5 linked regions of the Coturnix japonica genome follow. The protein of the gene in region 1 purifies or fractionates together with the protein of each later gene. This does not show direct contact. Links are inferred from orthologs where the notes say so. Each region holds a gene or a part of one and is shown in the gene's direction. Other genes may lie near its edges.

Evidence for each region.
Region 2: the proteins of STK25 (region 1) and PROSER2 purify together in Homo sapiens (affinity purification with mass spectrometry; 3 studies listed by BioGRID and IntAct, counting the BioPlex papers as one, with this or other methods). This does not show direct contact. The link is inferred for Coturnix japonica from reciprocal best matches to the Homo sapiens genes STK25 and PROSER2.
Region 3: the proteins of STK25 (region 1) and FGFR1OP2 purify together in Homo sapiens (affinity purification with mass spectrometry; 5 studies listed by BioGRID and IntAct, with this or other methods). This does not show direct contact. The link is inferred for Coturnix japonica from reciprocal best matches to the Homo sapiens genes STK25 and FGFR1OP2.
Region 4: the proteins of STK25 (region 1) and CTTNBP2 purify together in Homo sapiens (affinity purification with mass spectrometry; 3 studies listed by BioGRID and IntAct, with this or other methods). This does not show direct contact. The link is inferred for Coturnix japonica from reciprocal best matches to the Homo sapiens genes STK25 and CTTNBP2.
Region 5: the proteins of STK25 (region 1) and SIKE1 purify together in Homo sapiens (affinity purification with mass spectrometry; 4 studies listed by BioGRID and IntAct, with this or other methods). This does not show direct contact. The link is inferred for Coturnix japonica from reciprocal best matches to the Homo sapiens genes STK25 and SIKE1.

Annotation. Positions count from the first base shown.
Region 1 is NC_029524.1:3,907,280-3,911,331, reverse strand, and holds the start of STK25 (serine/threonine-protein kinase 25), read left to right. Parts: upstream 1-1,252; 5' UTR 1,253-1,382; intron 1,383-1,475; 5' UTR 1,476-1,510; coding exon 1,511-1,540; intron 1,541-4,052. UniProt on the Homo sapiens protein: Oxidant stress-activated serine/threonine kinase that may play a role in the response to environmental stress.
Region 2 is NC_029516.1:5,522,727-5,526,915, forward strand, and holds the start of PROSER2 (proline and serine-rich protein 2), read left to right. Parts: upstream 1-1,389; 5' UTR 1,390-1,645; intron 1,646-4,189.
Region 3 is NC_029516.1:62,494,051-62,497,550, forward strand, and holds part of FGFR1OP2 (FGFR1 oncogene partner 2), read left to right. Parts: intron 1-1,128; coding exon 1,129-1,242; intron 1,243-1,535; coding exon 1,536-1,649; intron 1,650-2,404; coding exon 2,405-2,542; 3' UTR 2,543-3,500. UniProt on the Homo sapiens protein: May be involved in wound healing pathway.
Region 4 is NC_029516.1:21,971,501-21,975,687, forward strand, and holds the start of CTTNBP2 (cortactin-binding protein 2), read left to right. Parts: upstream 1-1,387; 5' UTR 1,388-1,440; coding exon 1,441-1,509; intron 1,510-4,187. UniProt on the Homo sapiens protein: Regulates the dendritic spine distribution of CTTN/cortactin in hippocampal neurons, and thus controls dendritic spinogenesis and dendritic spine maintenance.
Region 5 is NC_029541.1:3,922,568-3,926,610, reverse strand, and holds SIKE1 (suppressor of IKBKE 1), read left to right. Parts: upstream 1-1,243; 5' UTR 1,244-1,374; coding exon 1,375-1,681; intron 1,682-1,768; coding exon 1,769-1,911; intron 1,912-2,459; coding exon 2,460-2,573; intron 2,574-2,921; coding exon 2,922-3,011; 3' UTR 3,012-3,788; downstream 3,789-4,043.

The DNA of each region.
Region 1 (4,052 bases):
AGGTGCTGGCTGATGTGCAGCTCACCCTCATCACCGGCTCCTGTCATTCACCCTGTTTAAGCAGGGGCACCCTGGGGTCTCCTGTTATCAGGGCAGTGAGAAGAGACCAGCTGGGAAGGCAAAGTATCCCTGCAGATCCATCAGCTGTATCCATTCCTGCCTAAGCAGAGCACAGACGTCTGCGAGGGTTTAAGATTCAGCTTCATCAGCTGTTTTCTGCTGCTGCACAGGAACATGGTTTGGAAGAACAAGCGCTCTGTGCTCTCAGCTTGGAAGGAGCCTGGCTTAATTTGAGGATTAGTCACTGGGAGGGAAAAGATGCTGAGCCAACCCAGGAGTCAGCTCCACACGGAGCTTCACAGCTGCAAGAGCCACTCCTGCTTATTCCACTTCAGCAGCAGAATTGGGAGATAAAGGCCCTTTTCTTTGCTGAACACTCAAAAGAGTCTTAAGAGCCATGATATCAGCAGGGAAAGAGAGTCTCGCAACACTGAGCCTTGTAGTTATAGTCTGCAGGCAGGAACAAGAGTGCTGGAGCTCTAGCAGCCTGATGCAGCTTCTATACACCTAAAGGCTCTGGAAGGGGAACCATAGGAGCAAATGGGCTTCTGCAGCACTCAGTGTGTTCTTTTTGGCAGGGACAGGTTCCCTTTAAAGCTGATCCTTGTAGGAGATGCAAGGACAAGGTTTAAGGCCCGGAGCAGCTTATGGCTGCCATCACACAGCGGTGACTTCATGCCTACCAGGTGGAGTGCAGCCCATCAGCCCAATGCCTTGCACCGAAGGGACGAGCACTTCGGTTTGGAGCTCTGTCTCCCACTACTGTGGGCAGCTCATCGCACGGCTGTGCTCAATGCTCCAGCTGCCATTGGGGCCGAGCTGTTACCGTGCATCCCCACGGGGCCGCGCGGGGCTCAGCGCTGCGATCCGCGGTTGCCACCTGGTGGCAGCGACAAAACAACCCAAAGCGGGTCCGTGTTCATAGACCCACCCGGCAGCCCTGACCGCTCCCGGAGGCGGCCATTAGCCGGGCAGGGCCGTTCATTATGGCTTACCCTAAAGGCAGCCGTCACAAGCACCGACCCCCATCACCGACCCCTATCGCCGCTCCCCGACACCCGCCGCACGTGGGAGCTGTAGCCCGCACCTCCCCTTCCCTCGGCCCCTCCTTCCGCCCCGCGCACAGCCCGCCGGGACATGCAGTCCGTAGGGGCGGCCCCATTGTATCTCTGGGCGGGGCTAGAACTACATCTCCCAGCAGGCATCGCGGCGCGGCCTCCCCTCCCGCTTCCTCCCGGCGGCGCGGCCGAGCTCGGTGTCCCGGGGCGGCTGTTGTCGGCATGGCGGCGCACGGCGCTGCGCGGGGGGAACCAGGGCCGTAGGTGGGGGCTGGGGGAAGGGGGGACAACAAGGGGCGGAGCGGGGATGGCGGGGCGAGACGGGACCGGGCAGAGCCGCCGTGTTGTCTCCCGCAGCTGAACGCCGAGGAGCGCGGCCCCACGGATCCAGCATGGCGCACCTGAGGGACTTCGGCAGCCAGGTAAGGGCCGCCCCGTGCACAGCTCCCATCTCCCCGCTGCACATCGATCCCCGCTTTGTTTGCTGCTGGCTGCTGCCCACGGCCTTCATATGGGGCCGCTCTGCTGCACGGCAAACCGCAATGGACACCGGGCTCTGTAGCCTCAGTGCTGCCGGTCGGTGTCACCGTCGTAAGGTCTCCTCCATCCCGTGTGATGCCGTGTGAGGCCTCAGGGGCTGTAGGTACATCCCGCTGTTGTGATGGCACGAGGTGATGTCATGACTCAGGGCTAAAAGCTGGAGCACAGAATGGTATCAGCTCGGATCGGCTTTCTTCTGGGCTTGGCTGTGGGTATGTGTGATGGTTGGCAGGTGTCAGTGCATTGTGCTGATCCCTAGGGAGAAATCTGGGTGCTTTTCTTTATATAGAGTCATAGAGGAGACACTTGATGGCCATCTGCTCTAACACCCTGCACCGAGCAGGGACACATACAGCTCCATCAGGTGCTCAGAGCCCCGTCCATCCTGACCTTGGGTGTTTGCAGACATGGGGCACCACCACCAATCTGGGCAACCTGTGCCAACGCTTCACCACCCCTACTGTAAAAAACTTCATTATCAATATCCAGCTTGAGTCTTTCCTCTTAGTTTGGGACCGCTTTCCCTCATCCTATCACAGCAGGCAGAGTCTGTGTCCTTCCTTCTTACAGCCCTGCTTCAGGTACTGAAAGGCCACTCTCAGGTCCCCCCAGAGCCATAGCATCACAGAATGGCCTGGGTTAAAAAGGACCATAATGATCATCCAGTTTCAACCTCCCTTCCACAGGCAGAGTCACCAACCACCAGACCAGGCTGACCAGAGTATTTTATGCTTCTAGGTGTACTTCAGTGGTTTGAGGTGATGCTTCCTCCAAACCTTTCCTGGTTTAAAATTGATTTGCAGTGCATCTTTGCTTTGCATGCTGCCTTTCACACACACCGTTTCCTCAAAGTACTGGTGGAATTGAATGCAAATTTAGTGCCTGAATGAGTCACGCTGCAGGGAGAGAAACGAAGGAATGAAGAAGGATACTGCCTGCTCAAGGCAGGGAGCTGAGCTCTGTTGGTGCAGTGTCTTGCTCTGAGTAGAGCTTTGTTTTTAGGCAGCATTCAATAATAGAAGCTATCAAAGTTCTGGTTATCTAATCTGTACATTAGGCAGATGTCAGGTGTTTTATCAGAGTTTGTCATACTGTGATAACTCCAGTGCTAAAATAGGAAAGCAGTATGTGTTATCTATCCCTTCCTTGAGTCTCTTCTGGAATCCTCGGTGGCACCTCATAATCTGTTTAATTGAGGCTTCTTGGAAGAGCAGCAGGAATTGGCCTGAAGTTCTGTGTAGCAATTAGATCGGTGCAATGGGAAAGGCATTACATCAAATGTGTGATGATGATGGAAGGGCTGGCACAACAGAGAGGTGCTACAAAGGAAAGAAAGAAGATTGCTCACCTGGATCAGAAGAGTCTCAGTTTGCAGAGGAAAGCTTCACCAAGGAGAGACCTCCAGAAAAAGATCCTTCCCCAGAGGCAGTCAGCCCTTAAATGGGGTCTAAGAGAGATGCAGCCAGGCTGTACCCCTTCTAGTCTCACTGCTGCATTGCCTTCACCTGTGCATCCAGGGCTGGCCAGGTCCTTTGCCCAGGTGCTCAATCAATGGTTCAGGCTGGGACTCGACAGTTTCCATACATTCTGTTAGCCAAGTTTTAAGCAGTGGTGAGGAGGTGCTGTAAAAATAAAGAGACATACGACTTGGATTGGAATGTAAGGGCCTTCACTTGTCTCTGGTTCCTTATCTATTGCCCATGTGCCGGATTACCTTAGGCAGATCCCTAAGCTGCTTTATCTCAGTGCCTCTGCCTAGGCCAGCTAGGTACTCTCTTCTCTTGGTTGACCTTTGCTGTGTACATACAGCACAGTGGGCCTTTGTTGGGTGCTCTACCCTCTCGATGATGTATTTGCACTGCAGTCTTTAAAGCTCTGAATCCAGCTGTGTTCCCAGTTCTGTTGTTCCTGTAGGCAGCCTTGTTCTTGTCATGGTCTGTCTCCTCTACCACCCTTGCCTGAGCTGCTTTGTTCCTCAGAAAGCATGATACAGCTACCTCAAAGTATAGACGCTTCTTCAGGAAGCTGCCTGTGATGACAGAGCCTGCAACACAAACTGCTGGCTGTCCCAAAAGCTGCCTGCAGCAGCCAGTGCTCTTCTGTTTGATGTCCCATTGGAGAGTTACATCCCCAATTCCTTGATGTGCTGCACAGGGCTGAGAAGGAAGCAGTAGCTCATACCTTGTCCTTTCTTTTCTCATAGAAAAATGATCCAGGTAGGAGGACAGGGGGGTTTCCTTGCAGGCTTGCTGCCCAGAGATGGTTCTTTTTCTCTCCTTAGTGGCTGTTGGGATGAGTGGTGTTTCTCCAGCACTGCAGGTGAGGCCTGGGCCACTTTGCTGCCCCATCCTGCTGAAGTGGCCAACAGGTGGGAACTGCATGTAGCCAGGCTGT
Region 2 (4,189 bases), on another chromosome or scaffold:
TGATGCACTCAGCGAGTAGAGCCTGAGCTCCGGCAGGGTGAGTTAGCATATACTTGCACATAATGCTGTAGGAATAACACATTGACGTTATCTAACATCCCAAGTCGATGAATTGCAAAACACTTTGCATCTGTTTAACGATGCTCCCAAACAGGAAATCAGTAAAGTACAGGCTTACATTTAAGTATATTCTTCAATTAAACGTGTTTTCCCCCCTCCAAAATGTTTTCCTCAGCCACTGTCTGTTGGCTGTACTTAGTAGATGCCACTCCCGCGTCCCTCCTTGATGAAATGAAACACTTTCCTCTCCCATACTGTTGTGTAACAGCTGCAGGTGAGTCCTATGATCCTATACCAAGTCACCAAGAATAAAAGATAGAGCTGGGATCCATCTAACCTAATATTGGCAAGATGTAAAGTCACTCTGGTCAAGAGAGACATGTAGGACTTAAGCAAGGCTCAGCTACTGCAGCCACCAGAGATGTTTCCTCATAATCATCTGTCACAGAATCACAGAATGAGCCGGGTTGGAAGGGACCTCAAGGATCATGTAGTTCCAACCCCCCTGCCTGGCAGGGCCACCAAACATACACCTTTACTAGATCAGGTTGCCCAGGGCCCCGTCCAACCTGGTCTTGAACACCTCCAAGGACGGGGCATCCGGGTCTCACTGCTCCCAACCTAAATCACACATCTCCCTCATCCTGCTTCTGTCACAACACTTACTGTGGGCAGGGCCACATCGTTCTGAAACATCTCCTTCTTCCACGTGTTCAGGCACTTTCTGCTCCATAAATAACTCTGCCACCACAGCATGGACAAGAAATAATGATTCCTGAAAGAGCTGTTTAGAGCCCCTTCCTAGAAACAGCCTGAAATTTTTACAGTGGCATGGGACATTAAATCAAACCATTCAGCTGATGGCTGACACAGCCTTGCATGTACTTTCTATAAATAAATACCAGCCAGTATGGTGATAAATTAGTAATAAAGAAGAGTAGATGGAACGTGTTATCGAGCCGCTGTGGGCAGCAGCGCTTAACACAGCACAGACCGCTTTCCTCCTTCAAGACGCGCAGCAAAGAGGCAGAAAAAGCTGTTGTTAACTTTATACTGTTGTCACCCTTAACATCTCACAGCAGAGGGAAGGCCCTTGAGAAGTGAGGCACAGGGTGAAAAGTGGGAACAAACCCCCATCGTTAGGGATAAAACACCGCACCCCAATGGCGGGGCGGGAATTCACCTCAGGGCTCCTAGGCGGCACCGCCCTCACACACCGCGGGCGGAGATGGCGGCGGCACCCCCCGCCCTGCACGCCCTGCCTTCCCTCCCTCACAGACACCTCCACCCGGCTCGCTTGGCCACGAGGAGCGGCGGCACAACCCGGACAAAGGCGGCCATCCCGCCCAGGCGAGGCGGAGCCATGACGAAGCACCTCTTCCAGCCGGGACGGAGCGCTCCGCCCTGTCCCCGCTCAGCGCTGCCGCTTTAACCGCCCGCCGTGGGTGTTGGCCGGGCGCAGTGCGCATGAGTTCGGTGCTTGGAGGAGCCGGTGTTTGGCTTGAGAGCACTTGGAGAACTTGTTGTCCTTCTAGCTCATCTGTTGTCTCTATTAGGAGAGGAGCGGGTTTACTGCCAGCAGCCGGTAAGTCTCCCTCAAATATCCCCCCGGTCGCTCTTTCTGAGGGGACTTTTCCTTCCTTTGCTTCTCTATCTCTCCCAAGAGGAGCCATACCCTCCCCTGGGGGTCTTTCCCACCGCTCTTGAGGCGCTTATCAGCTCTGTGTGGGAGTAATACCAGCATTGCTCTTATTCCTCACGAATGGGTGACTTCTCAAGAAGTAATAGGAGGCTGCTCCGCTCGGGTTTTCGCCCTATTGTTTTCTAAACTTCCTTCCAGTCAGTCGCCGTGACGCACCGTAGTGCTCTCTGTCTGCTCTCCGGTTTCCAACGAAGCGGTGTGTAATGTTAGCAGCGAGCAAAGTGAGAATCGGAGAGGTGCTGCTGGGCGGGATGTGGTTCAGAGCACGGGGAAAGGGAGAAAGAACTTCCAGCAGAGCCCTCTGCTATCGTTGGTGCCATAAAGCTCCTCCAGCTCCAGCCCCTTCCATGGGCTGGGTGCCCCCACCAGCTCAGGCTGCCCAGGGCCCATCTAACCTGGCTTTGAGCACCTTCAAGGATGGGGCACCCACAGCTTCTTTGGGTGCTCTGCCAGTGCCTCACCTCTGAGTAAAGAATTACTAACCTGTATCTCCCCTTTTTTACCTTGAACCATTTGCTCTTGTCTTATCCCTGACAGACAGTGTGAGAAGTTGCTCCCTGCCCTGCTTACAAGCTCCTTTAATTCCTTGATTTTTTTTCTTCCCCGTCACATTCTGTTTAAAAATCCACAGGCAGCAGCGAACTGTTACTGACCAAAAAAAAGAAAGAAAGGAAAAAGTGAAAGACTTTATAAAAGGGTTGGTGCCAGTGCATTATTAAACTTCAGATGTGCTGATATTCATTGTTTAGGAAATCCATTAAGAAACAATTCTGCTCAGATAGAGCAGTGAGGCACAGGCTGCCCAGGGTGGTGGTGAAGTCACTGGCCCTGGAGGTGGCTGCAAAACATGGAGAGGTGGCACTGAGGACGTGGTTAGTGGGCATGGAAAGGTGGGTCAGTGGCTGGTCTAGATGCTCCTAGGGGTCTTTTCTAGCCTTAATGATTCTATATGTAGTGCTATGGGCTTGCTAAGGGTGATGTTAAAGAGCTGCTTCATTTCTTCCTGACTTTCCAGAATGTGTTTTTACCCCTGGAAAAACTGTTGGCTTAAACAGCAGCAGATTTTAGCTCAAAATATTTTTCCCTACCCTCTGTCAGGTGCCTGTTCTGTCTGGAGAAGGTGTGAGACAGCTGGTGCTTCTGAAGGTTGTCAGCCTGGGTAGTTCAGACGAGGTTTAGGATGTGAAAGAAAAACCACAGCCTTCCAAAGGCTCTCCAGATTTTCAGCAATTGAAGATCTTAAGGGCATGTTTCCCAAATAGCTTTTGGTTGGGTATGGCACCCAGAGGAGGCGGCTGGAAATCTGTTGCGTTTCATCCTGCGTGTGAGCAATACCCAAGAGATGATGCAGGCAAATGAATGTGGAGGGTGACTTGTCTTCTTGTTATTATGGCCAGGATTTTAAACTGTTACAATGAAGCACCAGAAATGTAGTGATTGCTTTCTCTCCTCTTTCCTTATATGAAGGGAACAGAAGGGAAAACTTCCTTCTAAACTGAAGCGTTAGTCTTTGAAGCTGTTGCAGTTTCTAGCTTAGGTTAACACAAAGATATTTTCAGGCTTTTCTGCAGGTCCTTGGCTAATGCAGCATTGCAGATGTTCTTCATCGTACAGCTATTACTGTACAGAATAACGATTGTAGGCTTTTTCCCTCTTTTGCAGTGATAATACCTGTATGGGGAGGGGGGGGATGGTGTATAAACAGGAAAGAAAAACACCGATTACTCACAGCTCAAAGAAATTGAATACGTATTTGCAGCACTATCGTTCTCACTATGGGCTTGCTTTGAGTTCTTACAACAGAGAGTGAATGAGTAATACGAAGTTTTGACTGGAAGTACAAATGAAGTCTGAAATGGGGAAGGAACAGGGAGATGCTGTGTTGAATCTCTGCGCTTTGTGAGTAGTAAAACTCTTCCCCTCTTGATCATAGTTGCTTTTCCTTCTTTATATGCATACCTCTGAGAGAAATATTAACCAAGAATGCTGGCAGAAAGACTGGCTCGTTGGATATAGTAGTGAACACTGTAACTCCTTGGTAGTTGACAAGTCACAGACTGACTGACCTTCTAAAATACCGGAGCGTGAAAATAAATGCCAATAAAAGTGGGTCTCAAAGCCAGCCAGACAGGCTCTGTCGAATTCTGTTGCCACATCCTTCCGCTCGTTTAATTAGAAAATAGAAGCAAGTGATTTTATTTTCCAGTGTAACAAACTGCTTAAAGATCTCCCTCTCAATTAGGAATTTACTGATCATTCCTGTACCAATGAATGTATGAGACAAGCATTTACTGCTTTGTTTTTCCAATGCTGTTTTCAGCTCAGTTCACCTTGGGCAGGCAGACCTTTATGTGCTTATGTAGGAATTAAATGATCGTTAAATTAATTTCTTTTTAAAGTAAATATCTGCTTAGTGATTTCAGTGTC
Region 3 (3,500 bases), on another chromosome or scaffold:
TGTGAATTTTGCCCAAAGGTCAGGCCAGGCATGGAGAGGCAGGTCTGTTAGTGGATTTGGAATAAGAAACAGGTTGAAAGACTGGACAAATTAAAAGCGTCTGTAAATACATTAAAGTATTTGGCTTAACTCTACAGCAGTGAATGCCAAATCACTTAGGCTCTTCATCTACATTTTTCAAGAGAAATAAGCAGAGGCTCTATAAGTGCTTCTTGCTGATATGCTGGCCAGTGAGAAAGTAAAACATCACCCAAGCCAACAAGGGCCAAGTAAGATATCACTTATTTGCAAACAGGGGAGATTATTCAAAATCTAACTTCCCTGCAAAGGCTGTTAGGCCTGTGTTAATGTCTCCTATCATCACTTTCCTGGCAGTGGAACAAGATGAGCAAAGACAACTACTGCACTTGTTGTTTTTTTCTCCTCCATGAATATTTCAGTGAGATGCAGTAATTATTTATAATAGGGAAGTACCCTATTGGTATTAATTAGTGGAGGTCAGGCAGGACACGAGGGTGTTTCTAGAGTTCAACAAGGACAAGGACCTCTAGAGACCAGATCCCAGATAAGCTGAAATGGGAAGTGGATTTGAGCAGCGGTACCGCAAAAAGGACTCAGAGTTTTCCAACTTATGTCATAGTCAGGATGACAGCTTTGCCTGCTCTTTCTAACAGAGAAATGCCCACTCACGGGCGAGTACTGTCTGTACCAGACTTGCGACCAGCTTTCAAACAGGTCCAATATGCTGCTGTGCTCAGATGAAGTTGGCCTTTCTGCACATCCAGAAGGACGCATACATCAGCTCCTGCAGTACAGGAAGTTCTTGCCAGAGCAAACACGTGGCTGTCTAACAGCCATCTGGGAGACATGGAAGCTGTCAAAGGCACAGTCATTTGGGCATGTTTTCTTCTGTAAAACTCCTAAAAGTGAACCGTGTGGCAAACCAGATTGATTTAAATGAACAGAACTGCAGTGGCTGCTCATGCTGTAGAGTTAGCGCTTCTTTGTTTAGGTCTGTGTTTGCATTTTTATTGCATGACACGGCAGTTTAAATGCACATGTAATACTTTATTTTTAGTAATGAAGAAAGCTTATTACTAAAAGTACTGTTTTATCTATATGGTGTAGGAACTACAAGTGCACGTGGACCAAATTACAGAAATGGCAGCGGTAATGAGGAAAGCCATTGAAATTGATGACAAGCATGGCTGTAAAGAGCAGGAACGTATCATTCAGCTTGAAGTAAGTATGAGATCTTTTTTTGAGATTTGTGCCAGTGATGGCACAAATAGGGATCTGTCTTCCTCTACCCTCCCAGTGAGAAATGCTCAGAACTGACTGTGAGACAAGAAGTTGCGATTACACACAGATCAGAGTCTGGCTGTCAGAACAGGGAAACTCTCTGCCACTTATTTGGGGAGTTGGGGGAGCAGGTTACCGCTACCCAAATACGTTCACACAAGCTTTAAATTGTGCTCCACGTCTCTAAACAAAATATCTTGTTCTGACCCTACAGTTCTACCTTTCTTTTACAGTCTTTCAGTACTTTAGGGTTTAGGAATAGCCAGCTTCCCGTGCATCTGCTGCCAGTACTCAAAGCCAGCATTAAGATAGCTGCGTGCTATCTTCATGGAGCTGGACTGTTTCAGGTAATTAGTTTACTTAGGAGAATTAGTTTGATGTTGTATCAAGGAGCTGAGGGGGCTGTAGCTGACATGAGATTGGTCTCTGCTGCGGTGCCATCTTTCCAGAACTCGGGAGCAAATCATGTTCTGTATTCTTGCAGTAGATTTGCTGAAATTGCCACAAATCCTGAGATGCTGATTTAGACTTTTGCTTTAGTCACCTGCTTGGTTTTCCAGTCTCCCTCGGTATTAAATCATTTCCTTTGACAAAGGTTTTCCCAGTGCGCTACCAATTTGGCTGCTTTTTTATAAGACGTTGTGGAACCAAGTCACACGTTATTATCGAGTGAGGAACTGGGTGCAATGTTTAATTATTTCCAATGCTGCTACCAACCCTAACAACAGTTTTTAAAGTCAGTAAACTCTTCAGTAAAGGGATCCTTTCTGTTTGTAACTCTGTGGTAATCCGGCACGTAAAACAAAAGCCGCTTTGTGCACTTACCTTCTGGTACAGTTCGTTGTGTGTAAAATGCCTTTGGTTCTGTTGTTCCCAGTGCTTCAGTTATTTCTAGAACTCAGCCCTTAGCAAGGGTGTTAACCTTATCACAGTTACTGAGTTACTGTCTCTTTCTTGAGTTACTGGATCATTCACTGGTACTGCTAGTTTGTTGCATGTCTTTTGTAAGTGTGTTTGTAGTAAAGGGAAGGAGAGATCCTTCATGTAGTTATCTGACTTTCTGGAGTTCTATTAAATGCCTTTTTTTATCCCTCGGTTATAGCAAGAAAACAAAGGCTTGAGAGAAATTCTTCAGATAACCAGAGAATCATTCCTGAACCTTAAGAAAGAAGATGCATCAGAGAGTACATCCCTTTCAGGGTTAGTAACAAGCAGTGATTTGAGCCTGAGGAAGAGCTGAAGACTGTGGAAGCCAACCAGCTTTAATTGCACACTTTACAAACGGAATATCAGGGGTCACTTGTCAAGCACTTGTTACTGAATAGGGCACCAGCAGGCTTATGCATCTTGAACTTTGGTTTAGTGGCTTTTATACCGTGTAAAATAAACTCCAGTCGGTACTCTCTGAATACCGTAGTGACAGATTAATTGCCATAGGTCTAACTTCAGTAGGAAATGGGTTAGTGCACTTATGGAATTGGGAATTATTTTTATATGAAGTCATTTTACAAATAAAATACATAATTTCACTTAATTTATATAATTTATTGCTCGGACAAAACTTCAGTGCACCTATTATACAATAAATGCAAGATTTAAAGTAGTCTGATATCTGGCTAAAAGATAGCGACTGACTACGCTTTGTGCATGCTCCATAGTTCATTTGTCCTTTTAGTTACTAAGGTTTGTGAAATTCAGCATTTAGCAACGAGCCTCTTTAATGGAAAGAGCCAGCAGAAAGCCGACGGGCTCCTGTTAGCCGCAGGCTGCCCTGTTGCAATGTAAGGCCAGTTGCTCAAACATAAGCAATACTTTTGCAGTTGTTTTTACCTTATGAGAGAAAATGAAGCTCAGTTCTCTGTGGGTGGCAGGCTGCCGTAGTCTCATCTGTTTCTTTGGGGATTGGCTGCCCAAAGCTAGAAACAGCAATTTGAAAGCACTCAGACCGTACTGAGGGAAAGATAATTGGGAGAAAGAGGTGAGAAATTCTATGGCAAAGTTAGCAGACTGTGCACCTGGAACTATTATTTTCTTTCTTTAAGTACTATTTAGTCAAGGAGTTTTGTGTATTTTCACTGGGAGCTCTCAATACATCACACTGACAAGACTGCTCACTTTTATTAGTGAAAAAGCTGCAGAGGTGAAAATGAATTAGCGCTTCTAGAACAAGAAGTAGCTTGCACGGTTTGCCTGTACAC
Region 4 (4,187 bases), on another chromosome or scaffold:
TTCTGGGAACTGAGAAAAATAAGGCTTGGGCTCTGACTTCAACGGAGTTTCTGCTTCAGCAGTGGAAGGGATATGAGCACTCACTACAGTCATAAAAAATGTAAAACTTGAGTAGGAGGGGAGCTAGATGATTTTTAAGGAAAAAAATCAAGGATACATCTGTTTGACTGGAGTTTTTGTGCTCTGTAATGAACCCCTGAAGGCTGAATTCTGCTCTGTTCAGGCTATGTTTATATTACTGTTGTTTATTCCCCTAATGGCTAATTGGTTCCTGTTCTGGGTGTGCAGAGGGGAAAGTTCATGTATGTTCTCACTCATATCCTTAGGTAAAGCATGCTTAGAAGAACATTTGCTATCTATGATCAAGGGAAGGCATTGGTCCATTTTTGCCTGGCTGTAGTGCCAAGGGAATTTAGTACAAACCTAGAAGTGAGGGAGCCCTGTTAGAGGAGACCAGCAAGGCTCAGTGTGTTTATTTGTGTTCTTTGTGGAAGTTACATGTGGCTGCAGAACAAACAGGTCCCAGATTTTGCTTGTCATTGATTATGTTGGTTCTGGAAGAGAGCGCATTCAGGCTGATCTATAGCTTACCAAATAGGTAAGGCCTTGAGGCAGGCGGTGCAGCACCGAAGTGTTCTCTGATGGGCAGACCGCCTGTGTGGTAGTGGTTTCCTCTGGAGAGTTTAAAACCAGTTTTAAGCTAGGACGTCGTGGTCTGGAATGGCAAACGGCAACTTCAGACCACGCTGAGCTTTAGGGCTGCATGGGGAGGCTTTAATCTGGCCCCCTGCGGTCGGCCTGCATGAAAATATACCCTTACAGGCTAGAAGCCACTTTGGCATGTAAACATGTCAGTAAACAAGGAGCAGCGACAGCAGCGTCCTCCCCGGTCCTCCACAAGGAGGTGACAGGAGAGTTGCTCCTTCTGACACACCCCTGTCAGCACCCCCAGAGAGAGGCACCTTTCCTTCCAAGGCTTCGGCTGGGTCTGACTGGGCAGGTGAGCCGAGCCTCCCACCGCACAAGCTCTTTCTTCTCTATCCTCTCTCTCCGTTCTCCCACTCCCGAACCTCAGAGGCGGGCAGGGAGCAGAGCGGTGCCTGCGTGGGGCCCGTGCCGCGCCGTGCCAGGGGCACTCCCCTCAGCCACCATGGCGGGCGGGCGGCCCGCGGCGGGGTCCCGCTCCCCCGGCTCCGCCTGGCTGCGGGCCGCCTGATGGCGGGGGGCGGAGGGGAGGAGGGGAAACCCGACCGCCCGGTGGCCCAACGCCTGGACTCGTTCGCCTCGGCCGGCAGCGCGGCGTTGGCGCGGCGCAGGAGGGGTTAAGCTCCGAGCCGCCGGTGGGCCCGGTGCCGGCGGGGAGGGGGTTAAGCGCCGGGCGGCGGCGGCTGCCACTCGGCTCCGCGCCGAGCTCCGCGCCGGAGCCGTTACAGCGGGAAGATGGCGACGGAGGGAGCGAGCGGCGAGCCGGGCTCCGGCGCCCAGGAAGACTCGGCGGCTACGGCAGCGGTAACCGGGCCGGGGGATCGGACCCAACCGGGCGAGGAGGGCTGCGGTGGGGATGGGACGGAACGGAACGGTGCCCGGAGACCTGCCTCCCCCGCTCCGTCCCTCCGCCCTCCTTCTCCCCCGGGGCGGGACGGGGCTCGGCTGCGGCGGGGAGCTCTGTCCCGCCCCGGGGGAGAAGAGGGGCGAGCGCGGGGGTCCCTTCTTTCCCCGTCCGCCTTCCTCGGGGGCTGCCCCATTGTTCCTTCCCGCTGCCCGCCCGGCTGAGGGACTCGGGGCGGGGAGGTGCAGGCTGGGCAGCGCGGCGGGGCTGCTCCGATGCCTTCCCCAGAGCGGAGGTGCTGACAGCGCCCGGAGCCCGCAGGTCGGCGCGGGGGAAGCGCTCATCTGAATCCTCGCTCACAGCAGCTCGCTGTCTCCTTTCCCCCTTTTCTCTCTTGTTCCTCCCCGTGTGGATGAGGGGCGCCGGGGCAGCGCCCCTTTCCCTCCCGTCCCCGGGCTGCGAGGGGCCCTGAGAGGCTGGGCTGCGCCGAGGGGCCGTCAGGCTCCCTGCTCCCGAGCAGCCGGCTGTGTGAGGCGGTGTGTGAGGTGGGCACGGTGCGACGGTACGGCCCAATGTAGGCTGACTCCCTCTGCCCGCCTTTGCTGTCCTTTCTCTGTCTAGTCGCCTATTCCGTGGTGGGAGAGCAGGGCTTCGCCCCGCATTTCTCCCCTACCCGCAGCGCCGGGTCCCGGTGGGCAGCGCAGCGCTGTCCGGTCCGGAGGGGCTCGGGGTCGTCAGGGGCAGCTGTGCGAGAGCCGGGGCGGTCCGAGATCAGCCCCTGAGCGCCTCAACGTGTAACGAAATGCCGAGTTTAGGGTGCTAAAAACGTTGAGGTACGGCTCTGAGGTTGGATCATTGCTGAAGGGAGTAACGCCAGAAGGAAGGATGGCACCGGCTTGTGTGGGACTGAAGATGCTGATGGCTTATTTATTTATTTATTCTCTTTCAAGCAGGCACAAATCTTACCTGAAACCGTGTTCTGACTGCGCAGTTAATGCACACGAGGAAGGTTAACTTCTGCCTGTTGTAGAAACTGAGTTACTTAAATAAGAAAATAAAAATATATTTAAAAAAAAAAAAAGAGGGAAGGTAAAGCTCACAAAGTGAATAACATTGCTCTTCTGAAACAATGGCAGAACTGTAACATGAAAGACTATTAAGGTAACAGTTCATAAAAGCAAAATATTAAATTCTCTAAGCCATGGATTTGAGTAAAAAATATTTACGCTGAATTCTCCAGTATTTCATATTATTATTGCCTTTATTATTTATTTTTTTTTCTGAGTTTTGAAGAACTCAGAAGAATAGCTCACAATGAGGCAGTGCTCCAATACTTCCCTGCTGGGCAGTGCTGCATCTGCTGGTCGTGCAGTTTGGTGCTCGTTGTCATGTAGGAGTGATAGTTCTACACCACATTGCTTTTAAAATATTCTTCTAAAACTGCAGATACTGGCAAGTAACCTGTGTGTTGCTCTGTAATTCAAGTAGTAGCTGTACTTAAGCAGCAATAAAAGATCTTTAAAGGGACTTTTAGTTTGCATTCAGTCCTTTAGTATTTCTTTTCTTGACAGGACGAGGGGAAATGGCCTCAAATTGCACCAGGGCAAGTTTAGGTTGGATAGTAGGAAGAACTTCTTCACAGAGAGGGTAGTTAGGTACTGGAATAGGCTCCCCAGGGAGGTGGTTGAATCGCCATCCCTGGTTGTGTTTAAGAGCCATTTGGATGTGGTGCTCAGGGATATGATTTAGTGTAGGGTTTTTAGAGTTAGGGTTCTGGTTAGACTGTGGTTGGACTTGATGATCTTCAAGGTCTTTTCCAACCTGGGCAATTCTATGATTCTATGATTCTTCTTGTATTTCTTTGGTATTATAGACATTCAGTTGTCGATTTCCTTCTAGTTTTTGTATGCAAAAGTAACACCTCTGTGCAGTGGAAAGATTATACAAAGTATCTGTAGTGATACACCGATGTTCCTGTTGAAGAGTTAGTATGAATCTCTTACTTTCTGTCTTTATATTTAAGATATAGAATTATGAATGGAAATCATCTTGCTTGTTCAGGTGACAGTATTGTAAGTCATGGACAACTCTGCACAGTTTTAGGCTGAGTTCTCAGAATGCTGATTATATAAACGATGCAATGAAACATTCTAAGATCAGTGTTTTTAATAGTAATTATTAATATGCAAATTATACAGTGTAAGCAGTAAACATATAGTAGGGTATTCTCATACTGAATGCTGTTACTCCCGTATCTTAGTACACCAGCAGGTATGATATCAGTAGCATCACTGGGAAATAGAAAACAAAACTACTTGATTTTTTTTTTTGCTGTTCTTAGAACCGTCATAGGAATGGATCAAATATGGAAAATGTGAAATCTTTTTTAATTTCCTCCCCTAGAGAAAATGACAGGAAAACCCAGACTGTTCTGTAGTGTTATGTCCAGGAGTAAGGCTGATAGCCTTATCTTTCTGAGTTCCCAGTTATCTCTCACAGAATATTACTACTTTTGTTGTGGTAAGAATGACAAGGTAAAATGGCATGGGAATGGCCTTGTCACAGAATCACAGAATTATCAAGGTTGGAAAAGACCTAGAAGATCATCTAGTCCAACCATTACCGATACTTCCCAGCT
Region 5 (4,043 bases), on another chromosome or scaffold:
TAAACACTAAGATGCTTGAGAGGCCAAATTTATACATTCTCTTCAGTTTATACAGCGCTGATGTGATAAGCCAAAGGAATTATAAGACACCACTGCCCTGAGATCGCTCATCCGCTGCTTTGTTTAAGCTCTGTTGCTACATAAGAGAAGTCCTGGTGAGAAGCACGAGCAGCATTTAGATACAGGAGTGCTGTGCTACTGGGATCGGGTCGGTCCTGGCGCCACATGAACTCATTCTGCTGTCCTCTGGGAGTGGAACTAATGATTCTGTGTCAAGAGATCTGCTGGGCAGGGAGCGAGCCACGGCCCTGAGTGGGGGCATGGGACACATTAGGACTTCATCTCCTTTTCATTCTGTGTCTTTATTTCAGACACTCAGACAATCCTGACATGGAAGCCTGATAAAGCAGTGCCTCTCCCTTGTCTCCACGTGGCATGAAAGGCCGGAATGATATCTCTGAAGGAAGGGAAGAGTGAGCATTAAATCATGCCCAAAGGGAAGGAGAAGTGTAAGAAACAGAATAGGTTCAGACATACAACCCAAGTGCAGCTTGTGCTGAGGTGTAGTGTGTGCTCCTGCTGCTTCAGTCTGACTTCCCAGCTGATGTGAATTGAATTGCTGGTGCTGCATTGATCTCACTGAGTCCCCCGGGCTGTACGATGGGATTTAAGTGCAACAGGTTGTAAATTTGGTACCACGGAACTTCCTTAACTAGAATAGGGTGAAAGGCACGAACAGCTGAATTGTTGAGTGTGTCCCAAAGGAGATGTAAGCCCGCAGGGTGGCTGCAGGCAGCAGAACTGCTGACACTGCTAAAACACTGCTTAGAAAGTATCAAAGGAAAACGTGACACGACGAGAAGCGAAGCAGCAGAATCACCACGGGTGGCTACGGGCGGTTACAGCGAGCAAATAACAAAGAACGAAGTCAGCACTGCACAGCTTGTTATTTTAACTTGAGGAGAGGATGTTTACTGTCGGAGGGACAAACAGGGATACAGATAAGATGTCAGCCCAGGATTTAAAGGAGTTTGAAATCAAGATAACCAGGACCCCCCGTGGGTCACGGCCACCTGCGCTGTGCAAACAGAGCAGCTCCCATTGCCGGCTCTCAGATCCACGCCGTGTGACAGCGGGGAGCTTTGGATCCACGCGTTTAACACCATCCCCGCACCCAGCGGCCTCCAGCAGGCGGCGGTGCGGGCTCAGCTCCGGGCTCAGCTCACGGCTGCGCAGCTGCGGGGCGAGGAGCCGGCCCGGAAAAGGCAGCGGCTGTTGTGCGGGTGTTGTTGTGCCGAGCGGGTTCGGTCCGTGCGCTGTGCGGGACATGGGGCCGCCGCGGGACTGAGCAGCGCGGCCCGACCTGCGCCCACCATGAGCTGCACCATCGAGAAGATCCTGACGGACGCCAAGACCCTGTTGGAGCGGCTGAAGGAGCACGACACCGCCGCCGAGTCGCTCATCGATCAGTCCGCCGTCCTGCACCAACGCGTGGCCGCTATGCGGGAGGCGGGTGCGGGGCCGGCCGACAAGGGCAGCGCGGCGGCGGCGGCGCCCACGGCCGCGTCCCGGCGGGGTCGGAGCGTAACGGAGGATGGTGCTGACGGCTCCCGGCTGCGGCCGCACACGCTGCTGTGCCAGGAGAACACGCAGATCCGCGACCTGCGGCAGGAGAACCGCGGTGAGTCGGACGGGATGGGGCTGACGGCTCTCGGTGCACCGGGGGGGTCGCGTGGTGCCGTGTAACGCTGCGATCCCTGTCCCGTAGCGCTGTGGATCTCTCTGGAGGAGCACCAGGACGCCTTAGAGCTCATCATGAGCAAATACAGGAAGCAGATGTTGCAGCTGTTGCAAGGGAGAAAAGGTGAAGATGCGGAACCAGTGCTGAAAGTTCATCAGGCCAACTCTGTGGTAAGGTGGGATGGGGATGAGGAACTTGCTCTCTGGTTTGCTTTCATGCAACGTTTGTCTCCTTTCACGGGCCCATTCTGCTCCAGGAGCCTTCTTTCAAGCTCTGGTCCCTTTGGTATTTGATCTTTTCCCTGCATTCTTCTCACAGGTTGTAAATTATCACAGAGCATCCTGAACAGCACGAGCCTTTGGTTGTCCAGGTGAAGGCTTGCTGTGTGCTCTGGGTGATACATTCCTGGGGTTAAGCTTTAATAGCTTTGTTTTCACTTAAGAGGAGCACAGCAGAGGTGGTTATCATTACTGTTGAGTAACTGTAACAAAAGGAAAAGAGCCTCCAAAATCCCTATAAGCTGCCGTGTGTTGAGGTATGTGATGCTGTCTTAAAGCAGGGAGGATTACAAGTGGTTGGGAGGGAAAGATTAAGATTCAAAATGGGAAAGTAGTCCAGAATTAATAACATGAAAGTAATGGATTCATAAGGAATAAATTATTACTGCTTTTGCCTGAATGTATTAACGGTGTTTGTTTTTTTTCCCCATGTCTTTCAGGAAATTGAAGGACAAATAGACAGGATATGTGAGATGGGTGAAGTGATGAGAAAAGCTGTACACGTGGATGATGATCAGTTCTTCAAGGTACAGGAGAAACTAGCTCAGCTGGAGGTAAGAACCCACGACATCGCTAAGGACAGATCAAGCTTTTGGGGACTATAGATGGTTGTGTGTGTCAGGTGTTAATAACAATAAAAAACAGGGATGGTGGGTGAGGTTGGGAGGCAAGGAACATTTTCTGTTTAAGTTCTTTGTATTTCTGTCATCTTAACGATAAAGCCCAAAGTAAAAGGTGTCCTTTAAAGTGATGTGCTTCATCCCTTGTAAACATTAGTTTGAGTTCTAGATTTCTATTCGGCTGTGAAGGAATGGGGCTACTTAATTAACAGTCTGTAATCTTTGTTAATTAACTCATCTCTATCTCAGTTGAAATACTGATTATTATTTTTCTTTTTGCAGCTCGAAAACAAAGAGCTTCGGGAACTATTGTCCATCAGCAAGGAATCCTTTGAGCTCGGGAGGGACGATGTGCGTGACAGCGAAGCTTAGATCACAACACACCCAAACCTTGACTTCAGAGACTGTTCTGAAGCCACCCAACAAAGGACGATCTGTAACTTGTTCTTCAGGTGTTTCACATGTTCCATCTATCCCAATGTGTGCCCTGTGTTACTCTGCAATCACACACTCCTGATGGCAAAGGCTTGTATTGCTGCTCTGTATTATCAACCAAGTGAACCAAGTGCTTTTGGTGCCGGCTCTTTTGTGGCAGTTTATCTCACGAGTGTTACTTCCATAAGCTTTCCTCGGCAATTCCAGCTGTCACTTAGAACTGCCTGATATGGGGAACACAATACAGCTCCTGGATGTTGTATTTGCTAGAAGGAAGAAGAATTGAAGTCTATGTTATAACAAGTTGATACCTTGCTCTGCCTGCACAGTGGAGCTTTGGCTTTGAGGACCCAACCCTCAGTATTTGCTCACATTAATATTATATTATATTATAATAATATATATTATATATAATATTATATATATAATATATATTATATAATATATATATATATATATTATATTGATATTGTGATGCTCTCAGTGGCATTTTCATGCTGTTTTCAATGTAATTCAATGACACCCAATTGTCACTGTTACTTTTTGATGCTGTTTTTACTTAGTTTTGATAGATAAAGCAACTGTGTGTGTTATGAGTCTATTTGGATTATGCAGATAAAGGTGTTTAGTTGATATATGGGACTCCTGTTGAGGAGCATTGTACAGACTTCTTTCCTAGACTATTTTAAGATGGAATAAAGCAATTTACAGCCATTTTTGTGCTGTATTCTGTATTGTATCAATGCTGTCCCGTCGCCCCGTCCCACGTGGATCCCGCGCTATGGCGGTGCCGTTGGCTTTTGCGCATGCGCACCGTGCTGCCGCCGGTGGCCGTGAGGGCGCAGGCGCGGCCCCGCCCCGCGATCTCGCGAGAGGCCGGGATTAGTTCCTACGTGCGGTGCCGTGCTGCTCATGGCGGCGCTGGAGCGGGGGCGCTGAGCTGTTGGGGTGAGTCCGCCCGGCCGGGGG